4 linked regions of the Sus scrofa genome follow. The protein of the gene in region 1 purifies or fractionates together with the protein of each later gene. This does not show direct contact. Links are inferred from orthologs where the notes say so. Each region holds a gene or a part of one and is shown in the gene's direction. Other genes may lie near its edges.

What was found. Proteins that work in one complex are often made in the same cells at the same time.
Region 2: the proteins of NUP88 (region 1) and NUP214 purify together in Homo sapiens (affinity purification with mass spectrometry; 6 studies listed by BioGRID and IntAct, counting the BioPlex papers as one, with this or other methods). This does not show direct contact. The link is inferred for Sus scrofa from reciprocal best matches to the Homo sapiens genes NUP88 and NUP214.
Region 3: the proteins of NUP88 (region 1) and NUP62 purify together in Homo sapiens (co-immunoprecipitation; 4 studies listed by BioGRID and IntAct, counting the BioPlex papers as one, with this or other methods). This does not show direct contact. The link is inferred for Sus scrofa from reciprocal best matches to the Homo sapiens genes NUP88 and NUP62.
Region 4: the proteins of NUP88 (region 1) and XPO1 purify together in Homo sapiens (affinity purification with mass spectrometry; 3 studies listed by BioGRID and IntAct, with this or other methods). This does not show direct contact. The link is inferred for Sus scrofa from reciprocal best matches to the Homo sapiens genes NUP88 and XPO1.

The regions. Positions count from the first base shown.
Region 1 is NC_010454.4:51,596,181-51,601,398, forward strand, and holds part of NUP88 (nuclear pore complex protein Nup88), read left to right. Parts: intron 1-2,115; coding exon 2,116-2,217; intron 2,218-3,553; coding exon 3,554-3,712; intron 3,713-3,979; coding exon 3,980-4,105; intron 4,106-4,208; coding exon 4,209-4,274; intron 4,275-4,386; coding exon 4,387-4,467; exon of another isoform or gene 4,468-4,513; intron 4,514-4,717; coding exon 4,718-4,844; intron 4,845-5,006; coding exon 5,007-5,125; intron 5,126-5,218. UniProt on the Homo sapiens protein: Component of nuclear pore complex.
Region 2 is NC_010443.5:271,101,535-271,107,365, forward strand, and holds the start of NUP214 (nuclear pore complex protein Nup214), read left to right. Parts: upstream 1-2,303; 5' UTR 2,304-2,665; coding exon 2,666-2,710; intron 2,711-5,594; coding exon 5,595-5,790; intron 5,791-5,831. UniProt on the Homo sapiens protein: Part of the nuclear pore complex. Has a critical role in nucleocytoplasmic transport.
Region 3 is NC_010448.4:54,942,178-54,947,923, reverse strand, and holds the start of NUP62 (nuclear pore glycoprotein p62), read left to right. Parts: upstream 1-2,218; 5' UTR 2,219-2,339; exon of another isoform or gene 2,340-2,543; intron 2,544-2,769; exon of another isoform or gene 2,770-2,857; intron 2,858-5,746. Other genes in the region: ATF5 (cyclic AMP-dependent transcription factor ATF-5), read right to left, coding at 621-798. UniProt on the Homo sapiens protein: Essential component of the nuclear pore complex. The N-terminal is probably involved in nucleocytoplasmic transport.
Region 4 is NC_010445.4:80,252,856-80,258,543, forward strand, and holds the start of XPO1 (exportin-1), read left to right. Parts: upstream 1-2,160; 5' UTR 2,161-2,974; intron 2,975-5,688. UniProt on the Homo sapiens protein: Mediates the nuclear export of cellular proteins (cargos) bearing a leucine-rich nuclear export signal (NES) and of RNAs.

The DNA.
Region 1 (5,218 bases):
GCAGTTGTCAGCACTGCAGCCAGGACTCTGCTGGAGGCTCCCCGGGAAAGGCCTGAGTGAGCAGAGGTGACCTGAGCAGAGAGTGGAGGATGAGGAGCCCAGCCCAGAAGGAAACTTGAGTCAAGGCTGCCAGAGAACCTGAGGAATCTGCGGGGGAGATGCCAGGGAGGGCCTTTCAAAGAGGAGGCAGCGGGCAGCAGCAGAGCAGCGCAGAGCAGTAGAGTCCGGATCCGGCACACAGGGTTCACTGAGAACCAGGGGGGAGCGGTTTTAGGGGAGAGGATAGCCTGGGTTGAAGATGAATGGGGAAGAAGGCAATAAAATCTCATTTAGATCTATTTCAAAGACAGATGCACAGCATTGCTTAGGAGTGAATACGTGTATAGATGGGAAAGCTATAAAATGGAGCGAGAATGTATCATAAACACTACAATTGTCATTATTTCTCTGGCAAGTGGGAGCTTTTCTTCTTTCTTGTCTTTTCTAAGGCTGCACCCACGGCATATAGAGGTTCCCAGGCTAGGGGTCTAATTGGAGCTGTAGCGGGGGGCCTACACCACAGCCACAGCAGTGCGGGATCCGGACGGTGTATGCGACCTACACCACAGTTCATGGCAATGTTGGATCCTTAACCCACTGAGTGAGGCCAGAGGATCGAACCTGCAACCTCATTGTTCCAGTCATGATTCATTAACCACTGAGCCACGAGGGGAACTCCTGGAAGCTTTGATCAGGGGGGTCACAAGCGAGATCTTAGGTCCCCGCACTGTTCTCATTCTCCACCTGGACAGTGGTGACAGGATGTGTATGGGAACCCCCCTGTAGGTAGATCTCACACCAAAAATATAAAAAATGTAACCTCCTGGGAGTTCCCAATGTGGCCCAGCAGTAATGAACCCAGCTAGTATCAATGAGGATATGGGTTCTATCCCCGGGTTAAGGATCCTGCGTTGCTATGGCTGTGGGGTAAGCCGGCAGCTTACAGGTCTGATTCAGCCCCTAGCCTGAGAGCCTCCATATGCCATGGGTGCGGCCCTAAAAAGCCAAAAAAAAAAAAAAAAAAACCACCCTCCCCTCTGTAAATAAAAGTGAATGAGAGACGTGGAGGGACCGTGCTGCAGGCTACTGTTGACAGACTGCTGGTTCTAAAGGGAAGGGAGAAGGACTAGGTCGGGGAGAGCTTGAAATGTCTGGTAGGGAGGCTTTGGGATGGAAGAGATGCGGGCTTGTTTATAAGCCCAGGGAAACTAGACAGTGGCGGGATCTCTTGGAGGAGGTGAGAGAGGGCATCGTCCTGGGGCAGAAAGGAGCTTGCGGGGAGGCGCGGGTGGGTGGGCTGGCCGGCCGGAAAGAGTTCTTGTCTGGGGCCCTCGGTTTTCAGTCTCTTCAGTGACCTGAGAACCAAGACGAGGAGGAGCAAGCTGTGCAGTAAGTCCTGTGACGTAGGGGTTGGCTCTGTTGAATTTCCTTTTTCTCATTTATTTTTCATCTTTGGCTTTGTTAAAATTTTTTTTTTAATGATTTATTTATTTATTTTGTCTTTTTGCCGATTCTTGGGCTGCTCCCTCGGCATATGGAGTTTCCCAGGCTAGGGGTTGAATTGGAGCTATAGCTGCCAGCCTACGCCAGAGCCACAGCAACGCTGGATCTGAGCGGCGTCTGCAACCTACACCACAGCTCACGGCAATGCCAGAACCTTGACCCACTGAGCAAGGGCAGGGATCGAACCTGCAACCTCATGGTTCCTAGTTGGATTTGTTAACCACTGCGCCACGACGGGAACTCCTCTGTTAAATTTTGAATGTGAGAAAGACACTAACGTCCCCTCGCCAGTTTCTGAGCCCTCAGTCTGGGTCGGGTGCTTGGCTCAGTGTACAGTGGCTTCATCATGTCCCTGTAACTGCTGAGGTGACAGCGAGCACCGTGAAGCTGTGGGTCCTTGGTGACACAAGTCACGTGACAGCTTTTTTCAGGTTTCCAAGTCAATGCCGTGAGGTGGCTGCACTCATCTTGTTTCCGAGGCAACAGTGAGCCTAGGCCTGAGGCCACAGCTTTGCTGTTGGAGCCACTGCTTTCACTACTTCCTGGTTTAACTGTGCCTGTGTGTTCTTCCAGGGAGCCAGCTCCGATTCGAGGATTCTGGATTGTTCCCGACATTCTGGGGCCGACGATGATCTGCATCACCAGTAACTACGAGTGCCTCACAAGGCCCCTGCTGTATGTCCCCCTTGTAACACTTGTTGACTCTGCCCAGTTTGGGCCGGGAAGATGCCCTCCGCAACTGACCTAAAGATACATGGTTCACACTGGCTTCTGATTGGAGGGTTGGAAGGGTGGTTATTTCTGTTGCTCCTGCCACCTCTGGAAGGGTTTATTTTAGGCCGAATTTCCAGCATCTCCTCTGGGAAGCCGAGAGTCAAGGCCTTTACTTCCAAGTGCAGAAAGAATACTAAAATTGAATACTGAACTCCGTTATCAATGAGTTAGAGTTAATTATTTCAAAATTTAACTATGTGCCAGGCTCAGAAGTAAGCCTGCATTGCCTCCTGTAATCAGAGCAACCCTTGTAAGGACAGCACTTGTCACCCTCATTTTGTAGAAGAGGCAACAGGCGAGAGGGAGGTGCCGAGGCCCCAGGTAACACGTGGACCTGGGCTGCAAATACAGGGCTTCCGACGTGAGAGTCCGTACTCTGACTCTCCGCTTCTCCATCTCTGCCAGCCTCTTGGGGCTGTCATAGACTGTGTTAACTCTGGAAGAAGGTGGAATAAACCGAACCCATAGGCCTTGTTCCTCTTGAGGAACCGTATTAAGCTATAAGACCATTTTTCAGCAGTCCTGGAAGGTCATCCTCTGGGTTTTATAAATGAAGAAATAGGAGTCTAACAAACCCCTGGAGTACTTACTGGAACACTCCCGCCGCTGTGTCTCGGTGTCAGCTGAAAGCATGTGCTTCTAGATATTAACATTGTTCCAAATTCTGGCATTAATTCACCCTCCTTAAAATTTCCAAACTCTTTGAAAAGTGACAAGTTATACAATTTGGAAAGGAAAATAATTATCAATTCTGTGCTATTTATGCTACAAGAAACTCAAAACCAGCAAGACTAAATGAAAGTATTAAAATCACTACAAAAAACTGCCTTTTGCCTCAACATGGTTTTTTAAAACTTCTCCTAACTCTTATAAAATAAGACCTAGTCATCCTAGGATACTTGAGGATAAAAACATAAATCCCAAAGGGGGGGAAAAACGTTTAAATATTCGTTATCTAGAAGTCATGTTTCTGCCAACTCCCTGAAATACAATTTGTCTATAAAGTAATGTTGCTGTTTTAACAAACTCCCAGATTTGAATTATTGCCCAGTCACCGACTTAGCATTCTGTTGAAGTTTGCAGTCTTTGATTCAAGCTTTCTGAAATTGCCAGTGAGTTTATTTGTAACACTTTGTAGTTTCTTATAGTCTCAGAATTCTGGATAAATGTAACTTATGCTCTTCTCTAATGCTGACAGCAAGTAACTCCATGGTAATAAACTTTATTTATTTTGCAGAAGCACAGTCCATTCAGCGTCTCCTCCCCTGCTTTGTACCCGAGATGATGTGGAGGTTGCAGAGTCTCCCCTCCGCATTCTGGCTGAAACCCCGGATTCTTTTGAAAAACATATTAGAAGCATTTTGCAACGTAGTGTTGCAAATCCAGCATTTCTGAAGTACGGGATTTGGGGCATTTAGGTGTTTAAAACTGGCTCCCTTCTGTTTTCATATACTGTTCATCCTCTCTGTCCTCAGCTTTTTCATTTCGTATACTTTTTACTGTGTTGAAGTTGGGAGAAAGGGCGTATGTAATTAGGAAGGGAGACTAGAGGTGTGGAGGCGCTGGAGAAGGATAATCAGGACAGGTTAAAAAGTGGCAATGTCTGAGTTTTCAGTTGTTTGACTCAGCTAAGGAAATGATGGTAGGATTTTTTTTTTAAAAGATCGTCTGAGAAAGATACGGCTCCTCCTCCTGAAGAATGTCTTCAGCTCATCAGCAGAGCCACCCAGGTGTTCAGGGAACAGTACATTCTTAAGCAGGACCTGGCGAAGGAGGAGATTCAGCGGAGGTAGGACGGCCTTTGTTCACTCACCGGTCAGGCTCTGGCTGGTGACTGACGCTGTATCACGGCCAAGACCGGCTTCTGATTAAATTGCCTTTTGTTCTTCAAGGGTCAAACTGTTATGTGACCAAAAAAGGAAACAACTCGAAGATCTCAGTTATTGTCGAGAGGAGAGGTACGTGCCAGAGCTCGGGGTGGGGAACAGCTGAGTCAGACTGGAACCGTATCTTGCTCTGAGATACAGAACCAGCTTAGTTGGCGTCACCATCCATTTTTTATGCCACTAGGAAAAGTCTACGGGAAATGGCTGAGCGCTTAGCTGACAAATACGAGGAAGCCAAAGAGAAACAAGAAGATATCATGAACAGGTCAGTGGGCTTGCCACGCTGAGTTCCCGAGCAGGCACCACGAGTGGTAAGTGCTCGGGTCCTGAGAGCGTGCGGTCCTCCCTCTGAAGTATCCTTGCGGGGGGTGGCGCGGTGGTGCTTCCCCCACACCCGTCCTATGGGGGCCTCCTTCAGAGACACCACGGTCCCGAATGAGGAGCTTTGGTCAGCATCATGTTCCTGCTAAGGAGCCACGATCTGAAGCCGAGATGTTTGCTCACCTTTTCTAAAGGATGAAGAAAGTACTTCACAGTTTTCACTCTCAGCTCCCAGTTCTCTCTGACAGTGAGAGAGACATGAAGAAAGAATTACAGCTGATACCTGATCAACTTCGGCATTTGGGCAATGCCATCCGACAGGTAGGGATGGACCCAAGGTGGCTACCTTTGGCACTTTTTAAATTGAAGTGTTCCTTTTACAGAAAACAATTTTATAAAATGTAAAAAGAATAGGCTCAAGTAGATACTATGAACATGTATGGCAAACCCTAGCTAAAGTATCTGTTCTCTTTAATACTTAAGGTTACCATGAAAAAAGACTATCAACAACGAAAGATGGAAAAGGTACTAAGTCCTCAAAAGCCCACCATCACTCTCAGTGCCTACCAGCGGAAGTGCATCCAGTCCATCCTAAAGGAGGAGTAAGTAGCACTACCGGCCAGCTGTCACTGCCGGGTACTTTTTCCCTTGCGACCTGCCAGAATCAGCCTTTCTTTTTGCCCAGTTCAGATCAC
Region 2 (5,831 bases), on another chromosome or scaffold:
CGTGGGGACGTTGGACCCAGGCGACGATGAGTGAGATGAGGGGTAGGAAAGAGGAGGAGATGGGGTGACTGCCTTGCAATCGTGGCCACCTAACTGGGCCCAAGGCTGGGCAAGAGTCTTGGGGAAGCCTGCGAAAAACCTTAAGTGGAAAGGTCTGGGGCTGTTGGGAGTTGGAGCCCGTGTGAGCTCCCCGTGGCTCCTTTAATCCATAATCAAGGGCCCGAGGAGCTGACTTTACAGCAGCGAGAGGGAGTGGAGTGGGTGGGGGTGGGAAGAGAACCAGATGGATTAATTTGCTGGTCTCAACCAGTTCAGAAACAAGATTATTTGGCCGTGACGGGCTGATCTTCAGCCTAAGTAAGCTACTTCAGATGCGTAAGCCTAGTTGAATTTTAAACCCCAGCAAAACATTCCTCCCTGTAAATGTAAAATCTCACCCAACTCGATCCCCTGCCTTCCTCTCCCTCCCACCTTAGATGAGCAACTGCCTGTTTCCACCCCTTCCCACTGCCTCTCCTCTCTGGGACTGGCTGACACCTTAGAAAGGTTAACGCCTTCTTTGACTGCCCATCATAGTGTATCTGTGCCACTCAGCACAGAACCAACTAGGCTTATCTCAGCGGGTTCCCAGGTTTACAAGACTGCAGGAAACCTCCTAAGGAGAGGAGAGCAGGTGGGCATGTCCCCAGCTGCTAGAAAGGGTGGGAAAGCGTCCTCATTGGATAGGGAGTGTCCTGGGAAACCCCCTCGGTTCCTTCACGTGTCTTGGAACTCAGCTCCTGGGTCTCAAGAGTGGTCCCTGGAAAGGGTGTGTGTGTGTGTGTGTGTGTGTGTGTGTGTGTGTGTGTGTGTGTGTGTGTGTGTGTGTGTGTGTGTGTGTGTGTGTGTGTGTGTGTGTGTGTGTGTGTGTGTGTGTGTGTGTGTGTGTGTGTGTGTGTGTGTGTGTGTGTGTGTGTGTGTGTGTGTGTGTGTGTGTGTGTGTGTGTGTGTGTGTGTGTATTTCAGGTTGTGGCCATTAGCTCTAGGACTCTTATTTTTCTGGCCATGGGCTCAGCTTCTTAGAAGTTCCGCTGTTTCCTCTCTGAAAGACCAAATCTAACTAATATAACCAGCAACTTGGGGGCTGCCAATATGGCTTCACCCCTGCCATTGGAAAGGAGGGAGTGTATGGGGCAAATTCAGGTGGATGCAGTATGTGTGTATGTATGCATGTGAGTGTGTGCGGTACCAGATATCTCTACAGAATGGAAATAAAACAAACTTATCAACGTCTTGATTGGTGTATTTTGGGGGTGGTTCTGGGCCTTAGTAAACTGAGAAGCACTAGCTGATATAGTGACAGACTAAAAGAATGTGTCCTGTGTGCCAGGTGCTGTTAAACGTTGAACTTCCTTTGCTTCTCATAGCAACCCCATGAGTAAGGTTCCATTATGTCATTTTTGTTTGAGAAATGAGAAGCAGGCTTGGAGCAGATGAGGAGTCTGCTGAAAACCAAGCAGTGACAGAATACGTACCCCTCCCCCCATCTTCCCGGGAGCTGATCACAGCCTCCAAGCTAAGAATCTCTGTCCTAGAGCATTTACAGTTCCACTGCAAAAATCTCTACGTAGGACTGTGTCATAGTCAGCAATCAGTATATTCAGACAAGCCGAACTCTAATCCTGCCTTCACCACTTGAGGGGCACTGGGGAATTTTCTTAACTCCTCTGTGCTTCCAGTCACCTCAATCAATTAAATGGCAGTGACAACCCCTAGGTGACTACTGAAGAGTAAACAACACATCTAAAGTGTTTTGTGGGAGTTCCCGTTGTGGCACAGCGGAAATAAATCTGGCTAGTATCCAGGACCATGCGGGTTCCATCCCTGGCCTGGCTCGGTGGGGTCGGGGATCTCGCGTTGCTGTGGCCTGCTGTGTAGGCTGCCCGTTGTAGCTCTAATTAGACCCCTAGCCTGGGAACTTCCATATGCCACACAGGCGGGGCCTAAAAACCATAAATTAAATAGTGTTTTGCCCAGTTTTTGGGCCCTTGCACCGGAAACGATTACCTTGAAAGGCGTAAACAAAGCTAATCACTGGTGCCCTCTAATCTCCCCTTTCAGCCATTAGACACAGAAGAGTCTCGCTGGCGACACCCACCTCACCAACTTCCCGCACTTTTCCCTCCACTCTCCCGGCCTCCAAAGCCCTTCTCAGGAGCTGCCCCTTGGAAGTATTTGTCAAGTTCCTAACTTCTCTACAATTGGAGCTATTAATAACCACCTACATCCACAGATTACAGTGTCGTTTCCATTAAACGAGCGTGGAGGCCCTGCAGGTGCACCGCTCAAAGAACGAAAGCGAAACCGCGCCACCTGCTAAAGCGGCTGCTGCAACCGGACCTCCCGCGCGCAGGCGCCCCAGCTCCCGGGCCACGCCCCCTACTCGGTCCAAGCCAGCCAATGGGAGGCGGCGGCCAGGAGGGCTCAAGACTTCAGAAGGGCCCTCAGCCTCCCTTCACAGGTCCGCGGACCGAGGAGCTTGACGTCACCAATGCGCGCCGGAAGTACGTAATCTGCGGAGCGCTGCTCAACCTGAAGAAAGGAAGTTGGCCTGGAAGCGCCTGGGTAGTGTTGGCGAGGCCCCGGGCAGCCGCGGTGGCTGCTTTGACCAGTTGAGAGCGGCGAGATGGGAGACGAGATGGACGCCGTGATCCCCGAGCGGGAGATGAAGGTCAGACACTGGCCGGGGCCTCCCCCCCTTTCTTAGTTCAGGTGTTGCCTGCGAGACGCGAGTGTCGGCTGCCCCGCCCCCCGCCTGCAGCTCGAACTGTTTGCCGGGCTCACGGTTCTCACCAACGCGTCCTGGAGAGCTCTGCCGTGCCGCCGGCGTAAAAGCCCCACTGAATGCAGTTTTGCCGCCCTAGTTGGTCTTGTCTGAGCTTCTTGAGTTATCCTAACTACGCTTTTTTTTTTGGCCGCGCTCGCGGCTTGCGGAAGTTTTTGGTCCAGGGATCGAACCCGAGCTGCTGCAGTGACAACTCTGGATCCTTTAACCGCTAGACCACAAGGGAACTCTTCTCCTACCTACTCTAATGTGGTGGTCGGAGTAGTGGTCATAACCACTGTGTATCGAGCGTTTGCTTTATGCCAGGCACTGATAATTATCACAGCAACTTACGAAGTGCTTGTTAATATAGAGTAGCAAGTTGAGGCTCAGAAAGTAACTTGCCCAAAGCCTCATTTGACAAGCGTGCAGAAATTTAGGTGTTTGTCGTTAGTGTTTTCAAGACCCTCTCTCAGGTGCCAGTACTTCTGTAAGGTGGTCCAGGCTTGCCCGTTCATCACTGAACCTTGTAAGAGCTTTAGTTAACTGGAACTGGAGGACTCTTTTGGTCCTGGAAATCAACCTGAAGTCAGAACACTTGAGCGGGCCAGCTGAGCCAAATGATGAGAGGGAATTCACAAGAAAACAGGACTGTGTTGTAGGAAGACTTTAGGTATCTGAACAACTAATCACTGAAGTGCATTTAAAGCGTAGTAATCCATACCATGTTTAGAGCTGTGATGCTCTCTTTCTCCTTGAGAATCACTGCCCTGGATGAGCCACCCAGTGAGTGTGCCATGTTCCTCAGATATGCTGGGGCAGAAGGATGAAGAGGTTTAAGAACAACCACCTTCCTGGGTTACTGGTTACAAGACCCAAGTAGGGGAGTTCCCGTCGGGGCCCAGTGGAAACAAATCCGATTAGGAACCATGAGGTTTCGGGTTTGATCCCTGGACTCACTTAGTGAGTTAAGGATCCGGCGTTGCTGTAACTGTGGTGTAGGCCAGCAGCTGTAGCCCCGATTGGACCCATAGCCTGGGAACCACCATATGCCACGAGTGCAGCCCTTAGAAGACAAAAGATAAAAGACAAAAACAAACCAAAAAGCCAAAACAAGACCCAGGTAGGATATTTGGGATTATCAGGATGAGAATTAACAAAAAGATTCACAATTTTGTGGTCTCACTTGGAAAGCCATGTGGATTTCTGATCCCTATACTTGGTTGAAATTAAGAAGAGTACTTCAAGAGTTCCCATCGTGGTGCAGGGGAAACCCGACTAGGAACCATGAGGTTGTGGGTTTGACCCCTGGCCTCGCTCAGTGGGTTCAGGATCTCGGCGTTGCCGGTGACTGTGGTATAGGTCACAGACACGGCTTGGATCTGGCGTTGCTGTGGCTGTGGTGTAGGCCGGCAGCTGTAGCTCTGAATCAACCCCTAGCCTGGGAACCTCCATATGCCTCAGGTGAGACCCTAAAAAGAAAGAAAGGCTGTCTTCACTTTTATACTTTTTGGAGTGTAAGCAAAAGAAGATTCACACTCTTTTCACTAAAACCTTCACTTAAAGCTGGATTAGAATTGAAGAAAGAAAAAAATAAAAACCGATATAGTATAACTTAATTATTGGCAAGCTTATATGGAACGCTTTTTACCAAGAGATGGTACATACTGAAAATTCTTTGAAAACAGATTGATAAAATCATGGGAGACTAGATGAGTCAGGCATTGACAGGAGGTTGAGGAAGGCTACCAGGCCCTGAGGCACTAAGGAGCATGAAAATGGAAGGAAGGGAAAACCAGAAGTGAGTAGGTGGGGGGTGGAGGTGGCGCTGGACGTGGCAGGGGTGATGGCGTAGTTGTGCAAAGGAAGCAGTGTTGTCAGGTGGCGCTTCAGCTTGGGCGGGTCAAGCCAAGCTGCTTACTGCCTGTGGCCGGGGTTCGGGCTTGGTTTTGGAGGGTCCTCATGGCATCTGGGCGTGTTGGGCCTCAACACCAAGGGTTTGACTGCACACATCCCCATCTGTGACGGGAGTTTTGTTTAGCAGGCATCTGATGCAGGTAAACCAGTTCTTGGGAGTTTGTTACCCTTCAGTGGTCACCTCCATGTATATTTGTTGAGTACTATACTGGTAATTTGAGTTTACAGGGTAGGAGGTCCTGTCATGGCTCAGCAGTTAACAAACCTGACTGGCATCCATGCGGACGCAGGTTCGAACCCTGGCCTTGTTCAGTGGGTTGAGGATCTGGCGTTGCCGTGAACTGTGGTGAAGGTCTCAGATGCGGCTCGGATCCTGTGTTGCTGTGGCTCAAGTGTAGGCCGGCGGCTACAGCTCTCATTAGACCCCTAGCCTGGGAACCTCCGTATTTTGTGGATACAGCCCTAGAAAAGACAAAAAGACAAATAAATAAGCTAGGAATTCAGAAAAGGGAAAGATCAGTGTTCACTGGGTTAGTCAAGAAAAGCTTCATGAGTTTTTAAAAATTTATTTTATTCAATAAATACTAATAAGCACTATGCCAGGTACCACAATGTCATAGGAAGATTAAAAACGCGCAGAGTTCCCTCATGGCTCAGTGGGTTAAGGATCCTGCAGTGGCTCAGGTCCCTGCTGTGGTGTGGGTTTGATCCCTGGCCTAGGAACTTCCACATGCTGCAGGCATGGCCCAAAGAAGACTGAGCTACACAGTACTTAGCCTCAGGGTAACATGTATTTTGTCGTACTGGAATATAGTGACAGGTGATTTAATTTCCTATTTACTTGAATTGATCTTGTTTTGACCCCTCACCACAGGATTTTCAGTTTAGAGCACTGAAGAAGGTGAGAATCTTTGACTCCCCTGAGGAGCTGCCGAAGGAACGCTCAAGTCTACTTGCCGTGTCCAACAAGTATGGCCTGGTCTTTGCCGGTGGAGCCAGTGGGTTGCAGATTTTTCCTACCAAAAATCTTCTTATTCAGAATAAACCTGGCGATGATCCCAATAAGATAGGTAAGTTACTTAATTTATGGTGCATTGTAAAGAGAGGAGTC
Region 3 (5,746 bases), on another chromosome or scaffold:
TGTTGTTGTTGTTATTGTTGCTATTTCTTGGGCCGCTCCCGCGGCATATGGAGGTTCCCAGGCTAGGGGTTGAATCGGAGCTGTAGCCACCGGCCTACGCCAGAGCCACAGCAACGCGGGATCCGAGCCGCGTCTGCAACCTACACCACAGCTCACGGCAACGCCGGATCGTTAACCCTCTGAGCAAGGGCAGGGATCGAACCCGCAACCTCATGGTTCCTAGTCGGATTCGTTAACCACTGCGCCACGACGGGAACTCCCGTACCATTTTTTAAGCCTCAGCCAAAATGTTACTGCCTTGGAAAGGGTGTCCCAGCTCCCCACTGTAAACTAGTCCTCGCTGTCGCTTTTGAGCTCAGCTACTGTTTCCTGCTTATCCCCACACATCGTCATTTGTCTCTTGTCTGTCCCCAGTAGAGTGTGAGCGCCAAAAGGGTAGGCACCACGTCGGTCTTGTTCCCAGCTGTATCCCCAGCACCTAACAGTGCCTGACATATTATAGGTGCTCAGGAAATATTTATTGAAGGAATAAATACACGAATGAATGAATTCTTCTTCTCCCCTGCCCCCTGACCCCAGCTCACTCCATGACTCCACCTCCATTCTTTGCCTACCCTTACCTGCCAGGGGCTCTCCCCCCCCTGGAAGCCCGCCCTCCAGGGCTCCCCCAAGGACCTCATAGGGGCCCAGGGGGGCAGGGGCCAGGGGGAGTTTCCCATAGTCTACGAGCCAGCCCAGCCCGCTAGCTGGGAGCAGGGTCCTGTCCAGCTCCAGCCCCAGGGTCGCCAGGAGTGACATGGCTGCAGCTCGGGTGCGGGGCACAGATGGCAATGAAGGAGGCTGCACCAACAGCTGGCAGGAGGCTCTGGAGATTACTCAGCTGGGCGAAGACGGGCACCAAGGCGAGAGTGGAGGACCTACGAGTGGGAGACAAAAGTGAGTGGGTTAGGGGCCAGCCTCGCCAACGGCCAAGGCCATGGGGAAACCAAGCGATACCCCCTCAGGTCCCCAGGATTCCTTACCTTTTGGGAATTCTACATCTGCCCTTTCTTTCCTCAAATGGGGACCCCACCCATTCCCAAGGGAATTTTCTTTAGGCCCCGACTTACTTTTCCTCAGAATTCCCTAGACCCAATCCTTCCAATATTGAAACATAATGGTGTCCCAGGGGAATTACCTTAAGACCCTCCCACCCACCCCATAATACTATCTCTCATGGAAAAAAAAAAAAAAAAAAAACACAAAAACCTCAATCCCAGGGGAATTTTCTTCCAGCCACACCTCTTGCCCTAAAACATATCCTTTAGGCCCCACCCTGTCCCTAGATTCCTGCTGTGAATCTGTTCCCAGGGGAATCCCCCTGCCCCGCCCCTTCATCAAAATCCTCCATTCAAATCCCATTCTTCCCTTCGAATTTTGCAGTGGTCTCCCGTCCCCCCAAGCCCTGCCCCCTGGTTTATTAGCTCCACCCTCCCCGACGATTCCCAGAGGCCCCGCCTCTTTCTCAATATAAACCCCACCCCCTCAGCGCACGGCGCGCTTAGCCACGCCCCTTCTCCCAAAGGGTACCCCGCCCCCGCCCCACCCTCCGCGACGTCTCTTATCCTAGCTCCCGTCCCTTAACTGGTCGTTTCTAAGCCCCGCCTTCTCCCCCCGCCCCCGCCCCCGTAGTTGCTTGAAAGAAAGGGAGGGAAGACGTGCTTTTACGCCTGAGCAAACTGGAGGGAGGCGGAGGGTGGAGGGGGGCGGGATGAGAACAGCTCCCGACTCCCCCTCCCCCCACCCCCGTACACGGCTGTCTCGCCGAGGGCCAAAGCGCAGGCTCCAGCCCCAGAGCTGTCCTATTGCCCCCGCAAGGCTCCGCCCTCCTCGGGATCAGTGCTGCGCACGTGCGGCTGCTGCTCGTCAGCCCTTTGCTCCGAGATACAAGCGCCGGTGGATCTGAGCAATCGCTGATTGACAGACTCAATCAGAGCGGGGAGGAGGGGGGAAACCCACCCTCTCTGGGAGCTAGTGCGCAGGCGCAAACGCATGTGGTCGTCTTTAAACGCCAACATTGTCTGGAAGAACGCACCCTCCCCCCATCAGCTGAGTGCGCATGCTCCGCAGCGCGCAAACGGAGCGTCTTGTCTCTTCTGCGCCTGCGCGACCGTGATTCCTCACTCTTGTCTCCCCACCCCCCCGAGCCCGGTGGTGAGGGCCGCGAGCTTGGAAAGGGCGGGAAAGACGGTTGGAGAGGGAGGGGCGAGCGAGCGGTTACTCACTCCATGGCTGCGGAAAGAAGAGGCGGCGGTGGCCTCAGCTGAAGAAAGACGGCAGGAGCGGAGAGCGCAGGCGCGGTGAGCACGGCGACTGGCCGGGGGCACAGAGGGGTCGCGGCTACAGAGCCATGGCTGGAGCTACGCGGGCGGAGGAGGTGTCGCGGTACTGTGAGGAGAGATTGTGATCTGAGGATGGGGAATGAGGCGGCCCGGGGGACTGGGGACAGATATACCGGGGGCGGCGCAGCACGGCGTGCCCGGATCCTTCCGCGCCCCGCCCCGCGCTGCCCCAACCGGGAGGCGGGCTTGGCCTCTAGCCCTCGGGGATCCCGGGGACTGTCCCCCACTTCCGACCAGGGCGTTCAGCCCTCCCCTTCCTCTGACCTGAGGATCTGGCCCTGCTTTGCTCCCGACCCCCTGGACCACCCCCACTCGGGTGGGGCCCCTTTCTCCTTCTGATCCGGGGTCCGGCTTTCTGTTCCCTCTCATTCTGGTGGTTCAGCCTCACCTCTTCCCCGATCCCTGCACGAGTTCATTTCTCCTTTCCTTTCTCTTGCTTCACGAATTTCCGGCCAGCCACGTGCTGATCTCTTCAACTGCCACGGCACTCTGAGAACCCTTGTTGTGGCTTAGGATCTGGTTTGAGTCACAGACCGCGCTCCATTCAAATCGCAGACGGGCGCGGGTGGCCTTGGGCAAATAATTTAAATTCTCTAGCCTCGTAGATAGGGAACTACCTGTAAAATGAGAATAATCACCTCTTCCTAGTGGGGTCGTTTGTGAAAATCCGTGCAGTCGGTGTCTGTGAAACCAGCCCTCCTTCATGCCTGGTCCAACCGCTTTTATTATCCATAACAAGGACCTCTGGGGACCAGTCTCACCCCTTCCAACTCCCCTGGCCAGAGCCCCAGACTCGACCATCCAACACCTGCTAATAGATCATTCTTGTGTCTCCTTCGCTCTAGCATCCCTGCCCTCCCCCATTTCAAACGATGGACGCTCAGCCCCATCCTGCTGCCGGGAGCAAGGCATCATTGCCCAGACTCTCGTGTCCATCCCCTGCTGGCTTCCCCTTAGCCCTTATCCTTAGCACGCCTTTCAGGCCCGTTGGTTCATTCTTCTGTCCCTGCCCCTCACCTAGACGTCCTTTCAAATGGTTTTCTACCTCCGTGCACCCCACCCTCACCCCCAGATCAGTTTTCCACCTTTGCCAGACTTAGGGAGATCTGTAGTTCCATTTGCTGAAAGAGATGGGGCTTCCTGGCCAGTCCCTCCCATTACACAGGGCCTTCCACCAGACCCCGTAGACGAGGGTCTTTGCTGCAAGCCCCTCTCCTCCCCCATTCATCCACATCTAGACGTTACACCTGGAGTACAACTTTTCAGGACTTTGGTGGTGGTTATGAGACTGAGTCAAGATCCAAAGGTGGGAGACCCAGATCTTGAGTTACCTGGAATGATACATGGGCCTCTTTTGTTTTGTTCCATGTGCATGTGCTTTTTTTTTTTCCAGTTTTACTCAAGATATAATTAAACTTTATAAATTTAAGGTGTACAGTATAACAATTTGATTACCCATAAGTTTAGTGAACATTTATCATTTCCTGTAGATGTGAAATTAAAGATATAGAAATAGGGAGTTCCCATTGTGGTGCAGCGGAAACGAATCTGACTAGCATCCATGAGGATGCATGTTCAATCCCTGGTCTTGCTCACTGGGATAAGGATCCAGCGTTGCCATGAGCGGTAGTGTAGGTCGCAGATGTGGCTTGGATCTGGTGCTGCTGTGGCGTAAGCCGGCACCTGTAGCTCCGATTCGACCCCTAGCCTGGAACCTCCATATGCCTTAGGTGCAGCCCCGAAAAAGACCCAAAAAAGTAAATAAATAGATACTTAGAAAAAATACATATTTCTTTTTTTCTTTGGCAACTCCATGGCATATGAGTTCACAGGCCAGGAATCAGATCCGAGCCAAAGGTATGACATATGGAAGGGTTTATTCTCTCTCTCTCTCTCTCTTTTTTTTTTTTTTTTTTTTTTGCTTTTTAGGGCCACATCTGAGGCATATGGAAGTTCCCAGGCTAGGGGTTGAAATGGAGCTACAGCTGTCAGCCTACGCCACAGCCACAGCCATAGCTATGCAGGATCCCAGCCACATCTGTGACCTGCATCACAGCTCACAGCAACACCAGATCCTTAATCCACTGAGCAGGGCCATGGATCGAACCTGCATCTTCATGGATCCTAGTCTGGTTCGTTAACCACTGAGTCACAAAGGGAACTCTGGGTTTATTCTCTTAATAACTTTGATATGTAACATACAGCAGTGTTAATTATACTGATCATTTGATATATTACATACCCAGTACAGGCTGCTCTTCCTACAGGAAGCCCTTTTTGGGATCTGACCCCGTTCCCTTAGAGTACTTCCTGTCCACTGTGCCAGTATTTGAGCACTTGTCCTTTGGGGCCACATTATTACCTAGGCGGCATGGAGTAGTAGTTAAGAGCACAGACTCTGGAGGCAAGTTGTTGGATTCACACCCTGACTATACCCCACTTATTAGCTTCCTGGCAGTTTCGCTGTGCCTCGGTTTCCATTAATAGTGCCAGAACAGAAGTCCTCTGGTGGCCTAGCAGGTTGGGGATCTGGTGTTACCTCTGTGGCTCTGGTTATTACTTGGTGAGGGTTTGGTCCCTGGTCGGGAAGTTTTGTGGGCGCAACCAAAAAAAAAAAAAAAAATAGTGCCAGGATAAAAGTGACTAGAAAGTGCCAGGAGTTTAGTGACTAGAAACATACAGAAAGTGCCAGGAGTTTAGTGACTAGAAACATACAGATGTAAGTGGCTGTCCGTAGTGCCTCCTTCTTAGTGTTGTCTGATATTTAAATGAGTAAATCCAGGCCACCTGCTCATAGCCTAGTTCCTGGCACACATCAGGTGCTACATAAGCGGTTTCTGTTGTTACGGAGGTGGATATGTTTTCTCCATTGCTAAGCCGTAGTGCTTTCAAAGGCCTTTTAAGTGAGAAGTAAGGACCTCCTTCTCCTTGCCCTCCTCAGTGTAGGTACTTGAGCCATAGCAGGTAGGATTAGGGTCGACTCTTGGGCAGGCTGTTGGCAACGAGGGGGCACAGTCCCCCCACTCTTCTCTTGAAAAGACCTTCTAGGTCATGACGGGTGGACTAGGCAGAGTATTTTTCTTTGAATAAACTTTTTATTTTGGAATAATTGTAGATTTATAGAAAAGCTGTGAAGGCCGTGCAGAGGAGTAGAAGTCGGTGCCTTTACATTGCCATGGCGCACTTGTCACAACACTGGAGTCAACATCAGCCCCTTTCTATCGCCTCAACTCCACCTGGTCCTCGGATTTGGCCACTTGTTCCCCAACGCCCCTCCTCTGTTCCAGGATCCCCCCAGGATGCCACGTTACACTTAGTGGTCGCGTCTCCTTGGCTGCCTCTGGTCTGTCTGCGGAGGCTTTTTC
Region 4 (5,688 bases), on another chromosome or scaffold:
ATAGAGGGTCCGGAGGAAGCAGGAGCAAGATCTGAAAAAGAACAACTACCTCACATTGCTGCTGTTAAGAATTCATTGAAAATTGTTGAGAAAGGTCTCTAACAGAGGGCTAGACAAGCAGGCAGGCATTTGATACAGTTTATTAACATTTCCTTATTCATGGCCCACTTCAACCTTTGAAGTCTTGTTTCCAACAAATGGAGATAATGTAAAAAGGATTTTAAATATGTCAGACATGTTTTCTGAAATTGATTCTGAAAACACAGTGATCATACAGAATTATCTCCTCCAGTCACTTCATTTTGCGCTTGTTAATAAGTTTATATTGAATACTCCATTTTGGCTAACTCTAGGCAAAAATAATGGGCTAAATGTTTACATCTGATTAACTATGGTCCAGAGAGATATGATCTCCTAGGGGATATGACTTAAAGACGAGAAGAGCTAAAGAAGAGGACAGAAAACTGGGACTATTTAGTGCTTTATGGGCCACACTGCTCTTTCACACCCATTTGATCTCTATACAGATGAGACAGGCATGGATGATATGAGTCTCATTAATGAGTGAAAAGGAAACTGAGGCCCAAAGAGGTCAAGAGACTTGCCCAAGGTCACATTCTCAGCAAAGCCAGGTCTTACAAACCAGTCGATTTTTATTCATTGTTCTGGCATCTAAAAAAATCAGTGGCCTGGTGCAAGAGCTGAAAATGTGGAGGAAAAACTTTTTAAAAAACAGGACAGTCCTGTAATAGGATGTAAGTATTCCAGATGATCAGTGTATTCGTCACATACATAATACAGTTTGGTTTGATACCATTCAAGCTAAGCAATGAATAAAAAATCTTAGGTCTCAAAGTAATCCAACATCATTTTGGCAAACCTATTGGAGGGTGAGAGAGTTACTCTTAAGCAGTGTTTGGGTATTAGCCTTTGTCCACTGTAAGTGAGAATTTGCTGAAGAAAACTGTGATTTAATAAACCATTTATCAACCTCTTGGTGGCACAATGGGCCTACTAAATGTTGGTGGGCTGCTTGCTGTTTCTTCAGCAAAGAACAATCAGTAAAGCTTACTTGGAGGGCACTTGCGGACAAGAGAGACAACCATGTGAAGGGCCACGTGCGTGTGACTTTCATAGAAAATACTACTTGGTGATGATGAAATTTGTGAAGGGTAACTACCCGAAAGGAAAAAGCGAAGGTAAAGGAAGATCAAGGGCAGCTGGCACTCAAGCTTACCCAGCAAAAAGCACAGGATGTTAAACCAATTACAGGGATTACAGTGTCTTAATTTTTAGGAAGAATTGGTTGTTGAAGCAGCCAAATTCCAACCTGGGGAGACGGCGAGTTAAAATTTGAAGGAGACTTGCCCAAGAACTACTTAGGTAACTTTCCCACGTCTCGGAGAGGAGTAAGAGGCGCCAAGGGAGCGTGCCCCATACCTCACCCCAACCTCTCAACATCTCGGCCCCAAACCCGGTCTGGGGCCTACGACTGGCCTCCGTTGTGTTGTTTTCGCTCCTTTTTTCCACCCCGCCCCTCTCCGATTAAAAAAAAACTGGGTGTGCCCTAGTTTTTGCACAGCCCCCATCCGATGGGTGGGGGACAGGTCCCGACCACTGCGGGTTAAGGCCCTGCAGCTAGGCGGGAGCCGGCGGGGGCCGACCAACGCGAGTCCGGGAGTAGCCGAGCGGACGCAGGCGGCCGCGCGCCGCGCTTAAACTCGCGCCTCCACCAGCTCACGAGCTGCGCCCCACCCGCTTCGTCACCAAAGGCGCCCAGCCAATGAACGGGCCGGAAAGGCCGGGCCTGCGGGCTAAGCCCTGGGAGGGGGAGCGGAGGGAGGAGGACGGGAAGTTGAGGGCGGGCTATATTTGATTGACAGACCTCTCGAACCAATCTTCCGCGCGGCTTCTCTTCGCTCTCTACTCTGCTCTGCTTAGCTCTTCGTCCCACCTTCTCCTCTTCCACCCCCCCTCCTCGCTCCTTTGCGACCCGCCCCACTTCCCTTCCCCCACTCTGCGGGCAAATCGCTGCTGGAAAGAGGCGGGGGCCGAAGCGGCGGGCTCGTGTGGAGCCTAGAGCAGAGATTGATGGGCGATATGACCAATAGGAGGTAGGCTGATGGCGCGGCTATGGCTGGAAGCGGCCAATGGGCAAGCGGACTGGGGGCGGAGGCCCAGGTTCCAAACGCTCCGCGGCGCCATGGGCTGAAAACTCAACCGAGATGGAATCTCCCAGTCTGAACCGGTTTCAACCGGTTCCGAGTTTGAGGCACTAGGAGGAGGGGGAGAAGCGGCTGCAGCGGCCGCGGCAGGAGCAGCGGGAGCTACAGCATCAGCAAGAGCAACAGTAGCTACAGCCCCGGCGGCGGTGCCTGTTCCAGTCTTTGCTGCTGCAGTCCGTGCAACCACCCAGAGGGGGAGGGGGGAACCACCAGTCGCTGAGGAGCAAGAGAAGGGGGGAAAGTTTAGGCGAGCCTGGGTGGGGGGGGCCCAGCACCGGAGCCGCGTGAGAGAGGGAGCCGTATTTTGGTAGGGGGGAGTCGGACTGTAACTGGCAGCAGAGCGTCCCCCGACCGTGTGGACTCTACACCCCCTACTCCTGCCGCTCCTGCTGCCGCCTGTGGCTGGAGGGTCCCCCTGGGGCTGAATCTTTGGGACCTGACCCGGTTCCCCTCCCCCTTCCCTCACGCCCCAGCCAGGCGGGAGCATTTATTCCACATATTAATTCCCCTTCTTTTTTTGGGGGGGAGGGTGGGTGTGTGTGTCGGGGGGAGGTGTCCCTGAGATAGTAAATATTGAGCTTTTTTTTTTTTTTTTGCCCTTATCGCCTTCGTTTTTTTTTTAATTTCTTTTTTTAAGGTGGGGAAACTGTGAAACCCACCTTGATTTCCTCCCCTCTTCCCCCCCTCCCCATCTTCCCTCGCCCTAATCCCCCGACAAGGAAGGAAGAAGCAGTTGGTTCAATCTCTGGGTAAGTCGACTGTGTCTTCGGGGCCGAGGGTCGGGCGGCGGCGCGGCCGGGCGGGAGGAGGCTGGTGTGGGGCGCGGCGGCGGCCGCGGGAGACGAGCCGGGGAGGCGGCGGCGGGCCCACAGCACAGCCTGCGATTGAATGGAGCCGCTTCTGCCGCTGGGGGATGGAGGCGGGGAGGCGGCCGCGGGAGGGGAGCGCTTGCTTGGGTCATTCGCGTGTGCGGGTAGCGGTGGAGGAAGGCAAGGAGCGTGATAGTGAAGTGGGGCCCGGCGCGGGAGTGGAAGGGCTTCCCCAGCCCAAGGGGCCGGGGAGAAGTTAGGGTGATTTCAGGAACATCTCAGGAAATTATTAGGAGTGGAAGTTTCCAGAAATATTTAGTGCAGCAGCATTGAAACGTCCGCCTGCATCACGTGGCCCCTCGGTGGAGAGCTTGGGATCGCGGGAGGGAGGGGCTGATGCCTGCTCCTCCTGCAGGGAAACTCAGAATCTTTGGGTTTTTGCAAAGTAGGATTAAAAGTAGGGAAGGTTATTTGGTTTTTTTGGGGGGGGGGAATCTGCAGGTGAGGTTCCATGCTGTAGTTTTGCTTTCACGGACTTGAGTGTGTTAAGTGATCAAAACGTTTACTGCTGGCGCTGTACAGTGGACAATATCCTGATTCTGCTTCATTCCGATGTCTGAGTTTGGGGTGGGTGGAAGGAAGCGGTGTACTAGAGGAAGCATTAAAGATCTGCCCAGCACGGACCTCTGATCACGCAGAGGCCATGCTGCATTGAGAATGGGGCGGTGAACTTCAGGCGCCTGGTCTAAATGCCTCCTCCGAGTATGGGCGGGGTGAGTGCGTGCTCCAGTATGCTATAGTTAGAAGTGCTGCGGATCGGTTCGGGTGGGAAGAGAGGGGAGGGCGGGCCTTAGTGAGGTGTGTTTCTACTGAATGAAGCAGGCAATTGCCCACACACCTAAAGTAGCAGTCTTTCTCCTTGTAGCGACTTGTTTTTTGACCTACTATGTAGTTATCATTAAGCAACGGTTATGATTTTTTGGCTTTTGGATGGGAGCTGGCAGTGTGTAGCTGCCAGTTTGAAGTGGCTGTGAAGGTATTTTGGTAGTCACTTGTAGAGTCACCACATGGCTGGACAGTACCTTGTATTTGCTGTGCAGTGAGTGGAATTTAGCATTGAGTGTCCCAAGGAACGGAGAAAGCTTTTGTGGTTTCTTTCACCTCCCGCTTTGGCTGTTTTGCTATCTGCTTGATTGTGTATCTTAAGCGCGTTGGACACTGCTGTTGGTGGAAAGAATGTTTTGGAAGCTATTTAATTTGGGAGACTAAATGTGCTTGGCATTGACCAGAAAGCCGCCATTTCTGTACTACGTACAGTTTAAGACTAGGTAGGTCATTTCGAAGATAGGCGCTAGTTCTAAGGGTGGCATACCCTGCTGTATTTAACAGAAGCTTCTATTCTAAACCTGCTTTTTCACAGGATTTGTCTTGAACTCTGTAAAGACAATGTACTTGAAAATGAAACTTTTTATAGTTACTTTATTTTTTGTTTTGGCTATTACATTATGATAGGACTAAATAGGAGAAAAGTTCGTTCAGTTTTTAATTAACTCCCCCCCATAGAACATTTGATATGTAGATCTTGATTCTTCGTGGACATTGCTTTTCAGGCTCAATTTTTAAGATTGTTCTGATCCTTTAAAATTACATGACACTTGAAGGGGAGAGATTTAACGCTTTAATTTGTGAAATATATATTTCCTTTTTTGTATTAATATTTAGGTCAAAGATTATGTTAGGTAGTAACTGCTGGTAGAAATTTTTGAAATCTCATCAGTTTTGTTGTCAATGGATCAAAAAACTTGAATGAAAGTCCTTAAACTCTTAATTTCTCAATTTTTACATTATATCTTATATTTTATCTGATTGATCTTTCCGACTTTTACTTTGTCGTAACTGACATTATCATTAAGACATTCGAGTTGAAATTACTGCCATTTTTAAGAATATTTTTAAACCGTAGTAAAATAGCCAAGAAATAGTGCCCTTTTCCTATCAAGCTAGTTTGTCCAAACATAAGGTAATCAAATTAACCACTCATTTCCTGATCTGGAAAGGTTAAGTGGGGGAGAAGTAGAGATGACCATCTGACCTTGTTGGATCTAAGTACAGTAAACCAAGGGTACTTAACCTGAGGCGTGGCTTTCAGGGTGTCCTGAATCATCTGCAGTTGTATGAAAAGTTTTCAAATTTTTTAATTTGGCAAGAGCTATCCTGTTCCTCTGATTGTGAGGCATCTTGACCCAAAAAACGTTGAGGAGTACTGATATAGCCAATCAGACATAAGTGGCTCTGGCTTTGAAGAAAAAGTAAAAGGAAAGATTTTTATAATACTGGGCAACAAAAATGTGAAAGTGTGCCAGCACATTAGAGTTGCGTCCTCTTAAAAGGGTAACATTGCATATGAACCCCAGTAGGTTTTGGCCAGTACATTATTTGAGGTGAAGAAGTTCATTTTTCTCTTATGATAAAGTTTGTTTTTGTTTGGGAAACAGTTGGCAAGCTTTTACAGCCATATGCTTTGCCAGTGAATACCTGGAAATTTAAAAAATGTTTTGTTTGATGTATTACCAAAAAGGTTTTTTTAAGACTGTATATAGTCAAGGAGTTTGTACACTTTAATTTTAATCTTCAAATTCATTCAAAGATAAAAG